Kluyveromyces lactis: one gene and its partners. The protein of the gene in region 2 purifies or fractionates together with the protein of the main gene of each other region. This does not show direct contact. Links are inferred from orthologs where the notes say so. Each region holds a gene or a part of one and is shown on either strand. Other genes may lie near its edges.

Region 1 (6,798 bases), on a different chromosome or scaffold from region 2:
TCCACACTATCAAAGACTTCGCGTACTTTCTTGATCTCTGGTTCTTCTGACAAGATTGGTCTTGCTAAGAGAGAGTTGGTCAAGAAGTTGACTAAACCTGTCAATGTGACTTTTGAAGTTCCTTCAAAAACTAGATCTGCCATTATCGGATCTGGTGGTAAGACCATCAGAGCAATCTCAGATGCTGCTGGTGTAAAAATCGTGGTTCCGAAGGAGGTTGATGAGGGTACCTACGATTCAGATTTGGAAGACTATTCAGTAACCATCTCTTTACACGGCGATGCTGAATCTGTTCTCGTTGCAAAGAGTAAGATCTTGGACGTCGTGAAGGAGGAAACTAAAAACGCCAAGATTGTTCTTCCTGTCGAGGACTCCAAGTTGGTTCCCTTCATCGATCTAGAATCAGTTGAAATTCCAGCTGATGTAAAGGCGCAGCTGTTTACAAACAATGACCCCGCTGAAATCGCATTAAATGGTCCTCGTGATAATGTTAAATTGGCCAAGGTTAAGGTGATCAACTATTTGAACGAATTGGGTCTAAAGATCGTGGTGAAAAAGGAAAAGGTCCCATTCAAATTCCATCCTTTGGTAAAGCCTTCAGAATTGAATGAGAAGTTCCACGTCGAAGTACAAGCTCCAAGTATTTCCGGCGATGATCAATTCGTTTTCATCGGAAGCTCTGACAACGTCAATGAGGCCATCGTGTACGCTAAGAACTCATCTAAATTCCATACCGTGGAATCATTGGAAATTTCAAAAGCTCATGGTAAAAACGTTAAACATGCTAAGAACTTGATTCTATACTTCCAAAAATATAACGTCTTAGATCAAATTACCGAAGACTTCCCACAAGTGCAAGTAGTTTTACCTAAAGTGGAAAGTATTCCAGCATTGGAATCCGTCAGTATTACCTTAATTTCAAACAACGATGCCGCAGACGCTATCAAGACCGTTCGTAAACAAATTGTAGCTTTGGTTAATGAATTATCTCCAGAACAAACGTTAACTATTTCAGATTTGGATTATCATCTATTCCACAAGGACATCAAGCAAATCTTGGTCTCGACTGAAAGTGATGTCCCATTCATTCAATTGGGTGACTGTTTCCCAGGTAATGACGATATCTTACTAATCACCAAGATCAATGAAGATGATTTCAAGCCATCTGATGATGAACTAAAAGTTAAGCTGGAATCGGTCAACCAACAATTGGAACCAATCAGAAAGAAGCAAAGCCTTTTAGCATCCAATGTTGTTTCCCTTGCCAAAAAAGAACAGGATGAACTACTCGGAGAATCAAAAGTCACTTTGAACTTGATCAATGAAGCTGTTTCTCATGCTGGCGCTCATGCTTTAATCAAGTTGAGCACCCCTTCAGTCAACCAAATTACTATCAGAGGTGATGACCATGGATGTAAGATTGCTTCCGCTGCTGTCAAGTCCATCGTCGAGAATTCATCAACAGAATCCAAGATCACATTCCAAGTTCCAACCAATGTAGTTTCGAGATTGATTGGTCCAAAGGGTGCTAACTTACAACAAATTCGTGAAAAGTTTGACGTTCAAACTTTCATCCCACAAGATTCTAAGGATGAGAATACCGATGTTACATTGACCGGTTTGCAATACAATCTTGACCAAGCGAAAACATATATTCTAGCAGAAGCTAAAAAATGGTCCGATATTATCACTAAGGAATTAATCGTCCCTATGAAGTACCACCGTACATTAAGTGGACCTCAAGGCACTTATCGTATCCGTTTGGAGAACAAGTACTCCGTTTTCATCAGATTTCCTAAGGACAGTGAGTTAGTCACCATCAGAGGTCCATCTCGTGGTGTCAAAGCCGCTTATGATGAACTGAAGGCTCTTTTGGACTTCGAAATTGAAAATGGCCATAAAGAGCTTCTCAAAGTTCCAGTCGACTATGTTACTAGAGTCATAGGTAAAAGTGGTGAAACTATCAACGATATTAAGGCAGAGTATGGTGTTGAGTTAAACTTTTTGGACAAAACCGACAGTGAAAAGGCTAAGGAAGCTGGTGAAGTCGAGTTGGAAATCACTGGTTCTAGATCTAGCATCAAAGAAGCTGCAAACAAAGTCAAATCTATCATTGATCAAGCATCAAATTTTGAGACAGTTACTCTGGAAGATATCGACTCTAAGTATTATAGCGATATCATCGGTCGTAGTGGCTCCCAATTGAAAGAAATTATCAGCAAAGCTGGTGGTGATGAGATTAGAAACAAGAGAGTCAATATCCCTGATGCCTCTTCTGAAGACAAGGTTATCACTATCTTCGGACCATCTGACTTTGTGAAGAAGGTTGTCAAACAAATTAAGGGAGTTGTTTCTGGCTTAGAAAACAGCATTACCGAGGAGCTAAATATTCCACAAGAGAAGTTTGGTGCCTTGATTGGTCCAGCTGGATCAGTAAGACGTGAATTGGAGACAGAATTCAAAGTAAGAATTCATGTTCCAAACAAGAACAGCTCAGATGAAAAGGTCACTGTTTCTGGTTCTCCTGCTAATATTGAATCTTGCAAGAAGAAAATCGAAAAAGAAATCATCAGGGATAGTTTCGACTTGGAAATTGCTGTCCCTGCCAAATACCATTCATACGTTTCTAACTCTGGTTTGATTTTCCAAACGTTAAGAAACGAATTTTCTATTGATGTTTCTCATGGTAACTTGACTAGAACCGCACAAAGTTTATCTCGTGCGAACTACAAGGTTCCTGAAAATGTCGCTGGTGGTGAAAATGAAAGCTCCAACGTCCTCATTCAATCTGTCACAGAAACTGAAGCTAAGGTTGACACAATCCCATGGAGATTAACATACTCACCAATTGACTTGAGTGATGTTTTAGGTGAAGACTATAAGAAAGATGAAGAAAGCAAAGATCAAGTCTTAGAAAAAGCGTCCAAATTGATAGAAGACAGAATCGCCGAGGCTAAACTTGTTAACACCGAAGGTTTCGTTTGGTCCAAGGATGCAAAGAAGTTTAACTCTATTGTTGGACCAAACGGTAGAAATATCAGAGAAATCAGAAATGCCACTAAAACTGTTATCCATGTTCCAAGAAAAAGCGATAAGGTTAACAATGTTATATATGTCCTAGGCTCTGAAGAAGGTGTGAAAAAGGCAGCTGAATTGATCTGCAAGAGATTAAAATAGTTTTAATGTTTTCACTTTGTCCGTTCCTTTGATCCAATTCTTGTATTTATTTCCTCTATTGGTGTTCAACGCTGCACAGATTAGCACTACATAAGCTTACATTAATACCACATAATTAATCATGTATACTGAATACACTTAAAACCTATATCAAAAAATGTAAACAAAACTATTTCTTCAAAATCCTCGGTTGTTCCTCAATGTTAAAGATTTATACGGGCTAGCGTGTGTTTCATGGTTATACGTAAACGTATATATATATTTATTGTGGCCTGAAGATCTATATGCAGGCATACGAATAAAGCCGTCTTCATGAGCAACAAGACTGTGAATCATTTGTACTTGGTCTTTGCAATGATATATTATTATTATTAGGTTTCTTCGATTCCTGTATCTTATCTTTGTTCTGCAAATATAATCTTTCACCAATATCTTGGAAGACTTTGATTACGTTTTCTCCAGTCTTAGCACTGACCTGGTGGAACAACAAATTATTCTCTTGTGCAAACTCGCGTGCGTCCGCTTCATCGACTAAAGAGGTCGATTCCCTTTCAGATACTAGATCCAACTTATTCCCCACAAGACAGATGATCAACTTATCGTCATTTACCTTTTCTTTCAATTCATCAACCCAAAGCTTGGCCTTAGGCAAAGAATCTGGTTCAGTGACATCGTACACAACTAAAGCGGCATTTGCATTACGATAGTACATAGGTGCCAAAGATTTATAGCGTTCCTGACCGGCCGTATCCCAAATTTCAAACTTCAAAACTTGTTCATCATACTCTTCAGATAATTTAATAGTTTGTGAAAGAAAAGCTGCACCTATAGTCGATTCCCTGTACTCATCAAACGAGTCTTTGACGAATCTATGAACAATACTGGATTTTCCAACAGAAGAATCTCCCAACAATACTAATTTGAACTGAAGCATAATTTATGGGAAGTAAATTGCGATATTTTAGAAAGAATCAGCAGTATAGGAAACCTGGGGTTGATATTGGTGAATGCTCGAAACAAAATGTCCAATACGACTTCTACCCGCGGTTACTCGTTCCAGTTTCTCTACTTTTTTATCTTTTTATCTGGAAGGGATGAAACCTGTTGATTCTGAATTTAAAGGTTTCAATGACTGAAAGCCTTTAAGTTGGATAATACGAATTGTCGATCACGTGATTGGTAATTTGAGGGGAGTTCGTGACGTTTAAAACAATGACAAGAGGCTGATTTGGTTGATAAATATAGTTGGGGTGTGTATTGATTAAATAGAATAGAATAAATAGTAGCTAACATTAATCGAATAGAAGTGAAATGAAGTGAAGTGAAGTGAAGTGAAGTGAAGTGAAGTGAAATGAAGTGAAAGAAGTATCGTGCGCATGCTTATTATCTCATTCAGTAGACATCTTAACAAAGCCCAGCTCGTTAAGCCTTTGGATAGCGGCCCCGATCTTCTCTGCTTCCAAGAGTTGTTCTTCCTCGGGCCAATTATCAGCCTCGGAATCCTGCTCAGCGATAGAAGTCATTGAAGAGTTGGAATTAACAGTTGATGCTGCAGTGGTGGTGTTTGCCGATGGCGTGGGTAGTCCGGAGTAGGTGATGTAATCATGCGATATGGAAGAACACACTGAAGATTCACGAGAAACTGGAGGCAAAGGCTCCAATCTGTGAGTTTCCCTGTTGTGTCTAAGATGTAAAAGATTTAATATCGAAGTAGTAGTGTTCGAGATATTATTGATTGGTGATTCGATCAACTTAATGAAAGAGGAGTTGACGAAGGGGCAATGGAATGAGTTATGTGGCGAGACAAAACAGGTTCTGATATCTTGCCTTAGTTGAGGAGAAGAGTACCCTATCAAAAGCTCCAAGATGTTGAGGATCTGAGGTAATCTATGTTCTTGTAGGGGGCAATACAATTCCTCTGAAGCTTGTAGCAACCAGTCGTTGAACTTGTCCTCGAAAATGCATAAGAATCTATTGACAGTGGTTCTTTCGACGGACAGGTTATGAGTATGTAGCAATAGGTAAAGGGATCCAAATTGGATCAAACAATCTTGAAATCCAGCCACGGAGTTGTATGGTTTTCCACTAAGTTCGGTGAAGAGAGACCAATATACTCGAGAATTGGCAGAGAGATACCCGTAGTTGAAACACAAAGCGTACCAGTATTTACCCAATTCTGTAAGAATTGAAATGCGTTTTGGATCCATAGTCAAGGAAGTGACCATCGTTTGGAAACTCTGTGGAGCCAACATTCTGTTAAAAATTTGATGATGTTTCTGGTCCGAGTCATCTAGATCTGAACCCTGGCCATCATGAGCCAAAGTTGGTTTACAATGTGCCAATAAGAACATTATTCTCCATCTGGGTAAATCGAAAGGATTTTCAAAGAGGCTGGTCTCGACACATTTTATAAGAGTTGCGTTAAGATTTGCATCAGTTCGTATAGAACACGAATGTAGCAAAATATTAGCCACAATAATGGCTAACGTTTCACTTTGAGAAGAATCCGGCTGCACATGGTAGAACCAGTGCAGAATCTTTTGGAAACTAGAGTGATAGACCGAACTATCTACCCTAGACAACTGAAGCAACCGTTGGCATTGGTCTGCTGTAAGTTCCAAACCAGAACATGTATTCACATATGAGTTCATCGTTTGAAGCACGTTAGTCGAGTTAATTTCAAGAATACTACCACTAACAGTCGCCACCAAACCCAACCTGAATTAACTATCAACCTTAAAACCCAACCTTATATATATACTTAAATACATGCGTCCACATAATATCAATTGCCTCTTATATCGGCCGGTGACTAAGAAAACAAATCTTTATCCAAATCATTTGTCACTTGTTGTTACCGGTTCGAATGGACAAAATTCTTTCAAAATCCATCTCTCCAAACAATGAATGGAAACTTCGGAACTTCATCTTATTGGACGTCCTTGGATTTGCCATTAGAGATATAAAGGGATTCCAACGGACATCCATAAGGAATCCACACGGCATCTTCTGGACGGTGACTACATTTGGTAACTAGTTCCAACACAAGAAATAAGGATCCGGGAAAACCGTAACTATGCAAACTTGTCAGCGAACGGTATCTAGCACTGACCCATTGCTCGACATTGTTATGTGCAACGGAAGTGCAAAGTTGATCATGTCAGCATTTAAAAAATTCTCTTTCTGTTTGCAGTAACTAGCCTTTGGCAGCATCATTGTTTCCTTCTAAAGTTTAAGAGGACCCCAAAGGAAATAAGAAGGAAAATTCGAAGGAAAATTCCGTCGCTTACGTTTCGTAGAAATAAAGTGAATGGCGGAACGAAGTACAACACCATTTTGGGAATTGCCACAGTCCGACACAGAAGTTTTCGTGGTGTTAAAATCCGCATCAGTTCTTTTTCTTTTTCTTCGTTTGGTTTTGATTCCTAAAGATTGACTTTTCCATTGGGAATATCCTGCGCCCCGTTTGTCGGAACCGTACACCTGAAATAGGCAAGCGGAAAAAAAGTATACTAGTGGGGAATGTATAATTGGAGAAGTAGGGAGGAAAAAGATCACATTTGCGATCGGGTTTGCTGGATGTTCTGCTGCTGAAGGTTTTTTATACTGGTTTAGGAATTG
Region 2 (8,206 bases):
GTAATTTTTGAGATCTAACTTGTCGATTGATTCAGTAATCTCACAGCGAGTTTTACTTGGACCTATACTACCGGAAATTGGTTTAGTGTACACGTATTCTCTTTTTTTGGATTGGATTATTTCATTAAATTTGGAGATATCATAGTTGCCTTGAGCTTTTAATATTCGATCAAAGTATTGGACATCTGAGCCATAGAGTATATTTATCACTGTACCAAGAGGGGCGTTCAAAATGGTCTCCCCCATTTCTCGTTCATTTTCTTTTGGCGTGTAGTCGGGAGTAGTCGGCTCATGTTTCGAAGGACCCAACTGTGCTGAGCTTTGAGAATTTGAACTTTTGGAAAGTCCTGAGGGTCTTGCCTCGTCAGACACGCTATTTGTGCTTTCCTCAGAGCTACTTGTCATATCATCTGGATTTATGTCATCGGTATCGTCGTCATCGTACGAATCACTTTCATCACGGTTACCATAGGAATCAGTGATAGATGTGGAAGTCCGGTCGTTAGTCTGAACATCCTCATCATCGTAATCCATGCTTGAAGCTTCACTATCAAGAGTCAGATTCTCATCATTCATCAGATCGGCAGATCCCATAGTACCTCGTTTAGGCTTGAAGTTTTTATTGATTATTGTTTGATTCCATATATCCATAATTTGATCAAATGTACTGTCCCTTGATATGAAAGATGCAAACAGGAACTTGTCATGTAAGGTTTGTATCGATATGGCATTAGGAAATAATACGGCAGTGTTCTTTTGTTCGATCTGAACTATCTCTTTGAATGGAACTACAACAGTCTTCATCCATCCCAAAATATTCGAGTAAAAGCAAATGTGTCTATCAGATATGTATAACCTACCTTGAATGAGAATATCTTTTGATAAAGCACAACTGTAATCCGCTATTAATCTTTCAATTGGAGATACTACGGTGTCTTTAAAGATTGTATGGAAATCTGTATTACGCTTAGCACTTGCATATTCAATGCCTTGAAGTTCTGGTTCTTCAGTTTTTCTCTTTATTGGAATGTCCGAAGTTGACAGGCGTGTTGGTCCTCCAGGTGGTTGAACAATATCACTGGTCTTGGATATGCTACTCGCTCTTGTCATGTTTCTGCCCGAAAATGAATTTCTTAGGGGTGCTGTAAATAATTTCGTAGCTGCAGCAGGCGACAATGATCTCATAGTTAAATCTCTCAACACTTCGGGGCGTCTTGACCTACCGTTCCTCGGCCTAGTTTTTTCGAATGAAGGACTGGCAGAATTTGTATTGCTGTCCGTATTTGCATCATCATTAGGCATTGAGAGTGGGGACGGAGACGATACCGGTCGATCTGGTTGGTCTGTGGTAATCAGCACACTTGGTGTATGAAAGCCGGTGGACTTGAGATCATCTTTGTCCTTTTCAATGGCATCTAAAGTTAGATTTCCCCTCCCAAAGGTCGAAATTGGGGGGGCATTATCTTGCTTTACTGATGTAAATTTGACTTTATCCATGAAAGTTCCCACAGAACCAATATCATCACTGTTATTACCATCTTGATCGCTATCATCGTATAACGGCACGGTAGAAGACGGATTAGTCATTTGTTGAGAAATGGAAGATGTAGAGGAGTCGCTGGTATTAAGGGTGTCTAGTGTCGTCGCCTTCTTCAGTAAATAATCATTATTCGAGCTGGGAGCAAGAAGGAAGTCTAAATGATTCAGAAATGAGCCTGTATGGTTGTATGGATCATTACTTGTATCTGTACCACCAATACCAGAAGTCAGCAACTGAGTTCTATCTCCATTGGACGGTTCATCGTAAAGGCTGCTACTACTCTTCAGTGAACTTTTGGGTATCAAATGGTTAGCAGCGTTATGTGCAGCCGATATTAGCGATGAAAAGAGGCCGGAATCAGATTCGTCTGGCTTACTCTTTACGGGAGTCGCACTATCACTTTTCGAAGACTTGAATTTGGTGAACAGAGTCGTTGATGGTACGTCAGATAGAGAAGCCTTGCTATCGCTTACCCGTAACCTCGAACCCAATGGATCAGTGTTCTCTTCCCTTGTCATTGCAGTTTGATTGAAACCCTCAGTGGAAGACGTATCATTTCCTGCATTTAATGAATTCTTTCTCGGAAGCCTCGACAATGATGTAGAAATCCTCAGCGACCTCGATCTTGACTTTTCGCCAGACTGTCTGCTACTACGAATCTTGATGCTTTGGATACCTGAACCCGTGCTTGAAACATTGTTCTTATCAGAGGCATGATTCGCAGATCCTGCTTTATGGTCACTCCCATCCATCAAATACACCTTATCATAGCTCGAATTCGACGATAATGCAGATGCATCATCATTGACATTGGGTTTCAGACTCGTAGACCGTAGCACACGTGTATTGCCCTGAGACTTTGGTTGACTCTTGTCCTTATCCTTTTTCTTTTCCTTGTTCTTCTTCTTGCGTTTGTTTAAATTTAGCAACGAACTAGTATTCCCGCTTAGCGATCTTAGTCTGGATTTGGTCTCCTCACCAATGGTCAACGTCATCACAATCCTACACCAAGTATACCAGTAACAAGGGTCCTATGGTGCATCTATCGATGCAGTTCTGCCTTGAATAGATAAAACCAGAAGCAAAAAGTTTCAATTTAAGGTAGCGCGTTCTTTAAATATTATATATAGGTACAAAAATGAAAAATTATCGGTGCAGAGACAGACCTTGAAGCTATAAATGCGATATGAAAGCGATCCCTGCGTTTGCCCATGACTCAAATTCACTACTTCAATTAAGATCCGCTTAACAAGCAAGTACTTAAATTATTGATTACATACGGGAAATGAGGGAAATTGCTATTTTAAACTGAAGAGGATGTAGATACAGAAAGAGAAAACAACAAGAAAACTTGTAAGTTTAACGGTCTTCTGCCCATTCGTTTTCACGTCTTATGGCAGCTTCTTCCTCTGGAGTGAAATCGTTAACGATATTGAAGGTCCTTCTGATTTCTTCAGGTGTTCTGCCCCTAATCATCTCCGCAACAACTTTACATCCAGCATCCAACAATGGCTTGATATTTAGATAGTTAGCTGCTAGAATAATCTCATATAACATTTCTTGGTCCACTTTCAAGAACTCACGGTCCCATGGATCCACAGGCGCAGCTTTCCTCGAATCGTCGTCATCTTCATCGGGGAAATTGGAATCCTTGTGATGAACGGCCCATTCGATCACTTTCTGTAATACTGACGACCTCACATTGGGCACGGGCATCACTATTTCATCGTCACCATCCTCTTCATCATCTTCGTCATCGTCAGCATCGTTATCATCATGCAAATCGCCACTGTTAAGATCTTGCAAGTAGTTCTTTAGTAAAAGTGAGCGTTCAGCGATCTTCCTGTCAACGACAAATCTCTCTCCCTCAACACTCACTAAAACAACGTTCTGGTTTTCCTTGGACATGATTTTCTGGTACTAAATAGAACCCACTTGGTAACTCTATGGTGCTAACTAACTACAAACACCAAGCTCCTATCCACTTGCAAACATTAACTGAGATGTATAACATGTTGATTGACAACCTGTTGGGAATTCGATTCTTTTCGTTATTTGACCTTAAGGAAAAGAAAATTATGATCACGTGGCCATTAAAGAAACAGGAAGAGAAACCCCGTAGTGCCAGTGAAAGAGTAACGTTAACTATAGAACTATCTACATACACGGTATGGAGCGATTTCAGTACTTGAATGGAGGGCCAAGTAAGGTTTTCATAGACCGAAGTTACTATATACGCATGCACTGAGATCGTCAAGTGCCGAGATGGAGTGTAGTTTCTGTAGGAACTTGTTGTTCATTGATACGAGTCCCGCTTTCAACATTTCGTTTGTGCAGTCTTTCGTGGCGATAGAGAATAATGCGATTTGATATGAATTTTTGGATATATCGACTACTTTGGTGTCGTCATCATTCGATTTAGGTTTCGATTTGCTGTTGACATTATCCTCGATTTGTTCCATGATTGTGTGGAATGTTTCATCGATTAAAGACTCCAGGACAATCCATGTTCCAGGTGATTGTAGGCATTTGTTGGTCTCTTGTACAAGTTGTTTTAGTAATAGATTATCCTCGTATAGTACTTTCAAAGCATCTTGTTCTAAAGTTTGTTGAAGAACAAATCTCTCTAAGTTAGGTTCAGGAAGTAGACATGAAATGAACATTTCATTCGATTGTGGCTGTTGAAAGAATTGCTTGTTTGTGGTGACGAATATCTTGCTTATCTTGCCACTGAACTCATCCATTGTCATGATATCTCTTGGGTTCGAATTTTGGAACTCTTCTTTCACCAATTGTTCAATGATACTCTTGTATTGTAGGTATCCACGGTTTAATAACCACCACGATAAGGATAAGAAAGCTTGTTCGTTAACGTATCTCGATTTTTCAGGGTTCGCAGTGGATGCAATGCTCCTTGTGTCCGTGTCAATAGTACCATCGCTGTTTCTTGGGTCAGCTTTTTCACTGGGTAAATTGTTGCTCTTTTCAGTGATCCAACTAGAGAACCAAGATAAGACTGAGTATTGATTAGCCTTCTTTTCCCTTTCCTTTTCCATGGCAGAATTGATGGCAGTATCCAAATACTCTCTTCTTGCCAATATATTCAATTGCAATCGGGTTAAAAGCATCAATAATGATGTGGTATAGGACAAGATAATGATCTTGGTGATAGCTTTGAGTTTCAAATCGTCCCAAAGCTCGGCCTTGGATTTCGTAGACGTTTCAGAAACGCTAGTGGTATCTGCAGATTGCGGAGATTTCGCTGACACACTGGGTGCAGGCGTCATCGCACTCATTCCTGAACTTAAGCCCTCATTTTCCAACTCATTCCCAGCTATTTCACCTTTGGAAAGCTTCTTCTGTAACTTTTTCCCCTTTAGAGCCTCTACAATAGAATCAAGATCGAAATCCTTAGCCAACACTAACGTCATTACCGGCATCAATTCATAAAGAGTGTACAACGAGTCCTGCTGAGTTTGTACAAACCTCCGTTTGATCTGTTCCTTGACAAATCGTTGCTCCGTCATTTTCAAATGCTGCTTGTACAACCATCTTTTACTGAAATAGACCGTAATAGCGCATGTAGCAAATAGCGTAGCAAACAAAACACTAGAAACAACGAACTTCTTTCTGTGTCTCTGAACCAGAGATCGATTCCCAGTCATGATGAGGGGTAAAAAAATAACTTATAACTTAGAGCAATGTAATTCTTCTATTGATTTTCCACTACAGCCGTTGTCAGATTGCGTGTAGAGCTTTCCTAGTGTCGTTGTTTGTCTTGATACTTTATTGATGTTGATGTTTACTTGCTAGTTAGTTATTTTAATGTTTTTCGAATTTTGTTTCCCCCTCAAAGAGCGACAAATTCGACAGATTTAAGAGAAAACATATACCAAAGAGATAGAATTGCGTTGGGTATTGAACCTCTATGGTTCTGCAACTGGTGCCAACAGATATTTTATAGTGTATCATTACAGCTTTATCTTTTACTATACATATTATATGTGTATATGTGTATAATTGGTCAAAAACGTTCGCATGACTCAAATAAAAGATGGATCATATATGTGATGTGTCGAATCTCAAACGAAAACGAAGATTACATCCACCTATTGGCGTTGCATCTCAGTGAGACGTTTAAGATTGGCCAAGTTCTCCAGGATCTGGCCATCTGAGATCATAATTGGGGTTTGCGTATCGTTGCGGAAGTAATCTTCTGCACTTGTATGTGCTAAAGGTGGACAGAGTCTGAATGAACCAGACCGATCCATTTGATGTTGGAAGGGGGAATTTTCCGAATAGAACGCAGTTCTATCGAGTTTGACTTTGAGATGGTTCTGCTGTTCGTCGTTCCCGTTCTTTTGGTATAGGTTCTGTAGAAGCGGTTGCGGTGGCTGTATTCCAGCCTGAAGCGATGATGACTCGTGGTTCAATAGGAAGGATACGTTCATCTGTTTAGAGTTCCGCTGCAAAAGCTGATCCATTTCTGTGACGACTTTCTGCAAATTTGATGCCAAGGTTGACCATGATTCTGCATCGCTTGGCGAGAGCGAGTGTGCTTGCTCACGATATTTCTCACGAACCTGTCGTAGCTGTGTCTCTATATTCGATAAGTCATCAGCGACCATTATCTATGCTGACGAGAAACAAACTAAAGTACTTCTTGAGCTAGGCCAGTGTTGAAATTAAGTATACTGGCGGAGGGTGGATGTTACTTCAACAGTCCAAATAGGACTACTCGCCCTGTATTGAGTACAGGTTCTCCATATATGTGGTATGAATGTGTGTAATGTCTTGCGTTTTTTTTTTTTTTTTTGGCAGGCAAATATGGAATTTTCGCTGGATAAAGAAATAGAAATATTACTGAAGTACTTCTACGTGCGAAACGCACGCAGATTATTATGCGTTTTGTTCCATTGCGAAAAATTCGCAGTATTATGTTATTGATCGAAAATTTTGATTCAGTGAAGAATACTTCATCTCGGTATTATACAGCTTCATCTCATCTCATCTCATCTCATCTCATCGCTGCCTCAGTCGACAACGACAAGAACACGGACCACATACAACTACCAGCATGGAAGATACTAAGAAAATTAAACCATACATCTCGTATCTCAATAAACAGGTGGAACAACTCAGTGGTGAGATTAACAAACTAACGAGCAAGTCATTGGACGAACAACTGTTGCTTCTGCAAGATGAAAAGAAGAAACTTGATCTTTCAAACAAATACGCATATGTATTGAGTTCACTATGCTTTTCATACATGAAAGTCCTCAATATCAAAGACCTGTCACCTATCATGGCCGAATTGGCAAGGTGTAAGTCATATATGGATAAATCTAAACAGTTAGAAGCTAAGAAAGAATCTGAAGAGAAGGATGAGGTGGAGCAAGAAGAACAAGCAAAAAGAGTTCTACAATCTGCGTTGGGAGGTGGCAAAATGGAACCTGCTATCAGTAAAGTCAACTTTCAGGGGAAACATACTAAGTTTTCGACAGAGGCTTCCACCACCAGCACTGATAAGGATGGACTGGCAAATCGAGTAGTAGACGGAACAAAGAAATCAAAACAGCAAAAACAATCTGGTAAAGTATCGAAGAAATAATTCATCTGAAATATGTCCTGGCATGTTCATCCATGTATTCCTGGGTCTTATTCTGGCATTCTATATTAATAATTAGCATCGCATTTTTCACTGACATAACAAGTTGTATAGTATAAATACACTAAAATTGGGAAACAAAAAGAAGGAAATTCCAGTTGGCAAACGTGAACAAGAATTAACCAAAGATACAGGTTTCAAGTGGCAACAGAGAGTTACAGAGACCAGTAAAAGGATTAAAAGAAGTACATTTCAATAGCCATGATATCTGACGAGGATATTTCAACTTTCCAAGGTGTTTGCGGTACAGATAACGATGAATTGTCAAGACATTTCCTTGAGATGGCCGGAGGCAATTTGGAAACAGCCATCTCGTTATTCTTTGAACATGGTGGTGAGAGACAGTTGAACAGCAATTCTGGTAATAATAATGCCGGTGCTGGTGCTGGTGCTAATACAGGGGGTTCTGGCGGTCTGAGTGGCGACGTAGAGTTTGCTGAAGAATTACAAAGACAAGCGTATCAGGATGAAGATCAATATAGGGCTCCGGATCAGGCAAGACACGAGACATTGGTGGAGACAAATGTGTTTCCTAGTGTTTATGGTGGTATTGGAGGTTCTTTTGAACCATTGCGTAATGCCAGGGATATGTTTGACAATTCAAGACCTTCAGGAATTTTTAATCAACAATTAGACACAGACCTACTACGTTCTGGTAGATCTAACAACTACCATCGGGATGACGATGATGACGATAGTGATTCTGCGTTTACTGATGAAGAAAATTATCCCAGTAATGAGGATGAGTACGAATACGTAGAAGAAAACGTCGTGGAAATAGACGACGATGGTGAACTACGGGAATATACGAAATGGGTTAAGAAGCCAAAACCAATGTCAAAGGAAACCAGGCTAGCATTATTGTTTAGACCTCCATTCGATTTAATGGCAAAATACGATCTTGACACTGCAAGGCAAAAAGCCAAGAAAAGGAATAAATGGGTAATGATTAACATCCAATGTGCAGATATTTTCCAGTGCCAGATGCTTAACAGAGA
Region 3 (7,463 bases), on a different chromosome or scaffold from region 2:
GAAATTCAGTATCATATTCCAATATACCGCAAACGCATAAAAAGTTTTCATCATTGATCATCTCTTCCAAAATCTCCTTGCTGTTGAACAATATTAGAGTTTTCACAATGTTGCTCAATAATAATAAATTTCGATATAGTTTAGATTCTTCTGACTGATAGAATGATCTGATTAGTGTTGCTAAATAGTGATCGTTGATAACAAATTGAATTGTCTCATTTCGCAGATAATCAAATGACGTGTTTTCGTTTAGAATTTTCAATGCTTCTAAAAGGGATTCTTCTGTCTGGTTTGGTACATTTGAGGGAAGATTGACCGGTCCTGTTATTATCTCATGAACAGACCCGATTCCATCATCTGTCGATCTTACAGCTACCAAAGAGATGCGGCTTTCAATGTTTTTCTGTACAAAGCAAATATATTCACATAAAGAATCGCATCCAATGCTTTCTTCAAAGGATAAAGCTATATCCTGACCATTCAGATCCTTCCAGACAATAAGAGTTTCCTCTTGACGCTGGTATTCGATGTTTTGTTCGAGCCTGGACTTAAGTAAGACCTGGTCATCGGAGTCTTCATCGACCACCAAAAGATACGCCATTTTCTCTGCAGTCTGAGTGTCATCTATAGTACGCTCTTCCACTGTCCCCTGACAAAACCCTGTCCCAGTATCCTTCCACTCGTTATTTTCCAACACATAGACTTTCACGCGTTTCTTCTCAGTGTATACCGACTGTTTGGCACCATCCCCAGAAACATGCATATTGTTAGATTCAGACATATCTTATATTATGCTGATCGAAGCCCTAATAAATGGCAAGATCTCGTAAGCTCTTTCTGCTAATTGTGACCTGACAAAATAGGTTCAAAGTCTTGTAAGCAAAAGTTGCAATGCGTTAACAACCGAGTGAGTCCGAAAGAAAACTTGAATGTTTACACTTCGTCGAAAGCGTCAGTGACTTCTTCCAGTTAAAAAAAAAGGACAAAGAGGATTAAACACAAGCGCTATAAGAGCTTTGAAGTAACAGATTCTTGTATGTTCAATATCAGATTATCCTCCCCTTCCGCTTAAAACCCTCACAAGACACTGCTTCTCTTTTATTATGGGGTGAGATGAGATGCCCTGGTCAGAAGTCTTAAATTGGATAGTTTTTAACTTTGTTCTTTTTTTTCTTCTTCTTGGCCGCTAAACGCAGTGATAAGAAAAAAGAACAGTTTTAAGGCTGCAAAGCACACCGAGGGAAAGAGGACATCGTACTGAAGTTCGATCATAATTGTTTAACATACCGCGTTAGCAAATAAAAGTGTAGGCAGTGGTACTGTACGTAGCAAGGATGTTAGCTATAGATATATTTTTTAATCGATCAAGCAAAGGCGATCTTTTTCCTCTTCAATTGAAGACGTTTATTTCATTACGTACGTATTTCTATTTCTTTTTTCCTGGTTCCTATATCCACAGAATGACCCTGCATTATACTTTACAAAGCAACTTTACGCCAGCCATCACGATTTGGGGATTGAGGGTTTAAAATTCATTTCTCGTAGGTCTCATACTTAAGCTTGAACTGTTTTCTTTGTTTCGCTCTTTCCTTTCTAATTTTTCTCAAATCTGGAGGTGGTGTGACGTTTAATTCTCTTCTTAGTTCGTCTATGTCCTTATCCAAGATTTCTTCCCAATAGACATTGATGAGAGGTTTGCAATTCAGCCCTGCTTTGACTGCCCATGGGAGGTAGATGGAGTAAAGTCTTTCCTTTTGCACTTTCTTTAATCTCAATGGTGCTAATAGAGCACCAAGTGCAGCCATTGGGACACCAATGTTTGATGCCTCAAATGCTTTAACTGCAATCTCACCTTCGATTATGATTGGTAGGTCATTTATTGCATGATAAAAGTCATGGCATTGTCTATATCTCTTAAATATGAAAGCATGGACAGGATCATCGATATAAGTAACTGGTGCCCTTGTGTCTGGAGAGACCCCCTCTTTCATCAACCATTTGTAGTACGTATAGCCAACTGAATTTTTATCCATCTTTGACAATCGTTCCATGTCAAGGCTTTCCGATGTGATGTTTGGTCTGTCTTGTAGAATCCTTCTACCAGTCTTATCTAACAACATTGTCCGTTTTAAACTTTCAAGAAAGCAAGGTAGAGCAGTAGCTTCTCCTAATTGAACGATGTTCTCACCGTTCTCCGGGTGGAAATAAGATTTTAAACCACTGATACCGAAGAGCATCATTCGCTCATACCACCAAAGTGGAACATGACCCTCATAATTAGGTTCTATCGGTCTTGTGTTTCGTAATGCATTTAACCTTTCTTGAGTCCTTTGTTCCATCTTATGCTCATACTCTCCATTTTTATTATGCAGATTCCCTTTCTCCATAGCATCTGCTAGTCTAACATCTTTCCCAATCAATAGGTCTCCAAAAGCTGCTATTGCAGTAAATACGATTGTTCTCTTGCTATTATTCAATGGACTGAAAGCGTTACGACTTGCTTGTAAGGATTTCTTACTTACAGTAAACATTTGCGGTCGTCGTCTGATGCGTTTAATAGCACACTTTCCCTAATAATAAAAAGCTGTGTCCCGGAGTACAACTCGTCAATTGAGTCAAATCTAGAATCTGTGTAAACCTTGATCCTAATCCACGCCAGCAATTTCAATTACAACCACTTTACAATTTTCAATGATCTTCCTTTATCTCTAGTTAAAGTATATGTGGGTGAGTCGCATCAACTTCAAGAAAAGGTTTAAATTTGAAATATTCAGAAGAATCATCATACGAAAAAGGCAAAAGAATAGTAAAAAGGTTGACAAAGGAAAACGCCCATCTTAGCAAGGCTCTTGCTATCTACACGCTAAGGGAGCTTTGCTACATTAATTCTCAATTGCATAAATCCGAGATGACTACGGAATTATATAATGATGGGGCATATAAAAATGCTCCTACATATGAGGAGAGCTCTTTGTTACAACAGACATGGTTGATTAAAGAAATCATAAAGCCTGAGCTACCTAACGTTATGGACCATGTTGAGAAATGCATAAACCAACTATCTAGTCCTGAGAAATTTCGAATGCCTCTTACCAATGGGAATAGTGTCTCCGTTAACACATCAGGTGCCGCGCCAGACAGCACATCGATTAAAGGGACAATCACTAGACAGGCCGGATTTATAGTGGATTTTCAGGCTATCATTAAGCTTCCAGACTTTAGCAGGGGTAAACCAATAGTTCTAAAGATGGACCTTGATAAACAATTTCCCTTAGTTCAAATAAATGCCATAATTACAAATTTATCATCCGTATTGTCCTTATTTGACGAATTACAGCAACTTTCCGAATTACACGATATGAAACTTGATGATATTCATACTTTTCACAATAAAATTGGGAAAATATTGGAGTTACTTACACAATCTATTACATTATTACAAAATCCTCCACGAGAATTGGTCTTTCCGCATAATAACAACAGCTTCTTAAACGACAACTTCTCTGAATCTCATGACATTTGTGAATCAGCACATCATTTGGTCAATATGGAATTAGTGCTATTCAAAAACGAGATTTGCTTGGACATTAGGAATTTGACAAAAGTCATTAAAAAACCCTGGAGTGAGATCGATTCGAAAACTGGGTTATCATTCAGTGATAAAGTCAGAGACAGGCTGAAGCAAGACAGAAATGGAAAAATCGCAGAGATCCTTAAGGAAGAAGGCTTGCAAGTTGAACAAACATCTATGATAAACAATTTGATATCCAGTTTTTCAGCAACTGAAAGAATCACTCTTCCGCAAGCAAGCGATCTATTGGCTAGGTGTGTGACATTTAACGGGCGAGTTGTCACTGAATGCGAGAAAGTTTCAATTACCACCAGCGATCCTACATTGATTAGTGTCAGTGCAAAGTTGAACGGGCTTGAAAACAAAATCAGCAATCACTTTGTAAATATTCAAAATTTAAGTTAACAATGCGATAGATAGAGAGTCGGCGTATGCTTATTTATCTCTCTTCATGCAATTCCTGTATTCTTTGTATCAGTTCTTCTTTACGATTCTTTAAGTCTTTGAGACGTTCCAATTCTTCATGTGTCGAGGATACTATTACAACTGGATCCGATTTCACATTATCTATGATGGGGTTACTTTCTTGATTGTTGAATCGTAGTTTATTCAATTCGAATGTTTGTGATAGAGTGGCCCGCTCCCTTTCCAATTTGGTTAGAGCTTTTTCCAGTTTACTATATAGTTTTTGTAACAATGGTTCTATATCCTCCATCAAATCAAGTCTGGCCCTCTGCACATCATATTCTGATACCAACTGGAATACCCTCTTAGTTTGTAGCATATTTATAGCAAGTTTAGTGCTTCTATCTGTAGTGACCTTAGATACGGTTAAACATTTCGCCATGTCATCGACACATGCTGCTAAAGCATCTACACCCTCCGAAAGTACCTCTTCCATTGTGTCAAATCAGCTCAAATAACAATGCCAAATTATCACAGTGCGTTATCCAATTACAATCCTGCCGATCTATGTGAAGTGTTGTGTTTTCATGTGTATGTTGCGTAATGTTTGTTTACCTCTTTTCTATGTGGTGAATTAAAATAATTGTGATTGAAATTAAGTCCATTCTTTTCTCAGTTTCATGATTTTAGTATTATCTTCACAGAAGTGGTAAAGCAGCTTCAGCAGTATTTGCTACGAGGCAGTCTCTCCATTGAAGTGAATCAGAAGCCGAATAAGAACTTGCACTTTGCACTACCTTTTTTTGCATATGGTTTAATTGGGTTCTTATAAGCAGTGAATATGACTGAGAAACAAGGAAGTCGATTGGATCCTCTTTCAGCAAACCAGAGTAACGATAACACAAGCACATCAAAAACAAAAGGAAGAAGAGCTCGTTCCAACTCAAGCAGCAACGGTTCTTCGAATGACAACTGTTTGAATTCAAGTAATGACGCTCTTAATAAACTGACTTCCGCTGAAGATGAGAGAACACAGGCCAGAAACAAATACACACATGTTTTGGTTCTAAAATCGTTGAACAACACATTTGAGACTAAATTCTTAGTAGTTCCATTCAAGCCCAGTGGACTAAAATTGGGACGACCTGTCATTGGAGCTTCAAATTCTGGAAGTAACGGAGGACTTTCCGGCAAAGCTGATCCACAGGTGAAAGCTGATAATGGAAATTTTGATTCTAGAGTGCTTTCAAGAAACCATGCATCGTTATCGTGTGATGCTAAAACTGGTAAAATATGTATACGTGATCTGAAATCATCTAATGGTACTTTCGTGAATGGTAGTAGGATCGGTCAAACTGATGTTGAAATCAAAGTGGGGGATGTGATAGATTTAGGGACGGATATAGACACAAAGCTTGAACATCGTAAAATAAGTGCATTAGTGGAGGACATTTCAGTGATACCGTTGATTGGCGAAAACGATAAACTACTAGTATCAAATAAACGAGATTTCAGGAGTACACCTGCAAACAATGGGATTCCAGACCCAATGGTCACGATAACAACTGCTCAAAAAGCTGCGTTCGAAGCCGCCATGTTCGGAGATGTAAATAATCTTGACCTCGAAGATGCTGTATTGGGGTCTGAAACGGAAATATTGAGTGGAATATTTATAAACAATTCTATCGGAACAAGTCCGAATTTGATTAATATCATCAAGACCTTAGTGACAGATCTAACACTTGAAAAGTTGGAATATGAAAAGTTGAAATCGATTGACAATTTCATCGTTAATTATATTACAAAGCTTGAATATCTATCAAAGATGAAAATGGAGCAAGCGGACTCACAACTAGTCAAACTTCAGAAAAGCGTTAAACAGAAGCTTGCGAATCAACAGGCAGAACTAACCACCATCCATAATGAAGAAATACAGGCATTAAAACAAGAAAATAAGAAGCTTAATGACTCCCTAAAGGAAAATAATGACTTGAAAAATACTAAGATCAAACAGCTAAAAAGTGAAGTTGATGAATTACAGACACGTCTTGAGGTCGAAATATTTAAAAATACCCAATTACAACAAGCAAAGTCAAAACCGGTAAAGACGAAAGACGATGGTACTGCACAATTACCAGCTGTATCAACAGGTAGTAAATTACCCAGTACTACAACCAACTTGCTTTTATTAAGTTCTATCTCGGCAGGGGCTTTGGCTGCTGTGTTTAAATATGCAACAAAGTAAAACTAATCATAAATATCATTCTTAAAGTAAAAATTAATCTAAGCATTTCTTGCAGACTACGGGTGATGCGTCTAATCAGTGTAAATGGGTAAATCATCAAGTTGAATTCTCTCTACTGTGGTAATGCCCAAAAGTTTAGCTAATTGATTCACGAATGCAACTGCTACATCATTAACAGAGGTAGAACTATCAGGGACTTGTTCTCTTATGGAAGTGGCTTTTTTTTCTGACAGCCCGCACATGGTAAAACTGTTCATATAAGACAAGTCTGGGTCAACGTTAATACAAATACCATGTGAGGTGACAGATCTTCTGACATGTATGCCAATACTGGCAATTTTTTCTTGATTAGAGACCCAAACGCCGGTATCATTGGTTTTTTGGGTAATTAAATTCAATGGTTCATCTGATCCTTGGAATTTTGGAACTACTTTTAATGCGTTCATGGCCGCGTTATCAATAGTTGAAACTAAGCATTTGGCCGGCAAGTTCTGAAATGTCTTTAAATCGAGAATGATGTATGCGACTATTTGCCCTGGACCATGAAACGTCACTTGGCCACCTCTTTCAGCCTGCACAAATTTGGGTTTTTTATTATATTTCTGTTTTGATGGAATAAAGCCTTCATATCTGGCGATCTGTTCATCCGTAATTTGTTTCTTAACACGTTTTCCGCCAGTATAAGTGGGTTCAAATTGAAATGTAAGCACAATTGGATTTGGCTTCATCTGATTGATATTATCTAGTATCATTTGTTCGTGAAAATTCAATTGTATCTCGGCATTATGTTCTTTTTGTAAGTTTGTCATTTCTCTCTTTATCTTGGATTGTAGTTGCTTAATGTCAAGATGAGCGCGTACAAATTTCTCCTGAATATCGATCCCCGTTTCAAATGGGATCTCTTTAACGAATTGCAAGTGTCTGATTGTTTTAGCTGAAGGATCAATTGGTTGCGTACGGGCGGTTGATGTGCATTTCAGAGTGGATTGAAACCGGACTTTACGGAAAATTGTACATCCAAATTTTGAAGGGTACCAGTAATTAGTACCTATCAGCATCAATTTAGACATACTTAGAGTACTCTCTGGAATCTGGCTAACGCAGAATAATTGCAGGTGGTTAAGGCACCTATGTCATTATCTGAATTGGGGCCTTTGTTTATGCGGAAATTCAGAAATGTACTGTTCTGTTTTTTTTCTCTTAACAAAGACATCGCTGAAATTTAAGAATATGAAGCACAAT

Evidence for each region. Proteins that work in one complex are often made in the same cells at the same time.
Region 1: the proteins of SKP1 (region 2) and YPT52 purify together in Saccharomyces cerevisiae (affinity purification with mass spectrometry; 4 studies listed by BioGRID, with this or other methods). This does not show direct contact. The link is inferred for Kluyveromyces lactis from reciprocal best matches to the Saccharomyces cerevisiae genes SKP1 and YPT52.
Region 3: the proteins of SKP1 (region 2) and RAV2 purify together in Saccharomyces cerevisiae (affinity purification with mass spectrometry; 4 studies listed by BioGRID, with this or other methods). This does not show direct contact. The link is inferred for Kluyveromyces lactis from reciprocal best matches to the Saccharomyces cerevisiae genes SKP1 and RAV2.

What each region holds. Positions count from the first base shown.
Region 1 is NC_006040.1:198,825-205,622, reverse strand, and holds YPT52 (Rab family GTPase YPT52), read right to left. Parts: upstream 4,112-6,798; coding exon 3,488-4,111; downstream 1-3,487. Other genes in the region: SCP160 (Scp160p), read left to right, coding at 1-3,177; KLLA0_D02354g (uncharacterized protein), read right to left, coding at 4,566-5,828; KLLA0_D02332g (uncharacterized protein), read right to left, coding at 6,403-6,798. UniProt on the Saccharomyces cerevisiae protein: Required for transport in the endocytic pathway and for correct sorting of the vacuolar hydrolases suggesting a possible intersection of the endocytic with the vacuolar sorting pathway.
Region 2 is NC_006041.1:1,504,986-1,513,191, forward strand, and holds SKP1 (SCF ubiquitin ligase subunit SKP1), read right to left. Parts: upstream 3,449-8,206; coding exon 2,900-3,448; downstream 1-2,899. Other genes in the region: YSP2 (Ysp2p), read right to left, coding at 1-2,535; PEX3 (Pex3p), read right to left, coding at 3,754-5,205; KLLA0_E16985g (uncharacterized protein), read right to left, coding at 5,650-6,168; LRP1 (Lrp1p), read left to right, coding at 6,618-7,151; DNA protein crosslink repair co-factor UBX5, read left to right, coding at 7,410-8,206.
Region 3 is NC_006040.1:1,583,402-1,590,864, reverse strand, and holds RAV2 (Rav2p), read left to right. Parts: upstream 1-2,908; coding exon 2,909-3,976; downstream 3,977-7,463. Other genes in the region: PSY2 (Psy2p), read right to left, coding at 1-781; ubiquinone biosynthesis protein COQ4, read right to left, coding at 1,533-2,531; SPC19 (Spc19p), read right to left, coding at 4,011-4,472; KLLA0_D18799g (uncharacterized protein), read left to right, coding at 4,818-6,221; lipoyl(octanoyl) transferase LIP2, read right to left, coding at 6,293-7,291. UniProt on the Saccharomyces cerevisiae protein: Component of the RAVE complex, which is required for stable assembly of the vacuolar ATPase complex V-ATPase under many conditions. May be required for transport between the early endosome and the late endosome/prevacuolar compartment (PVC).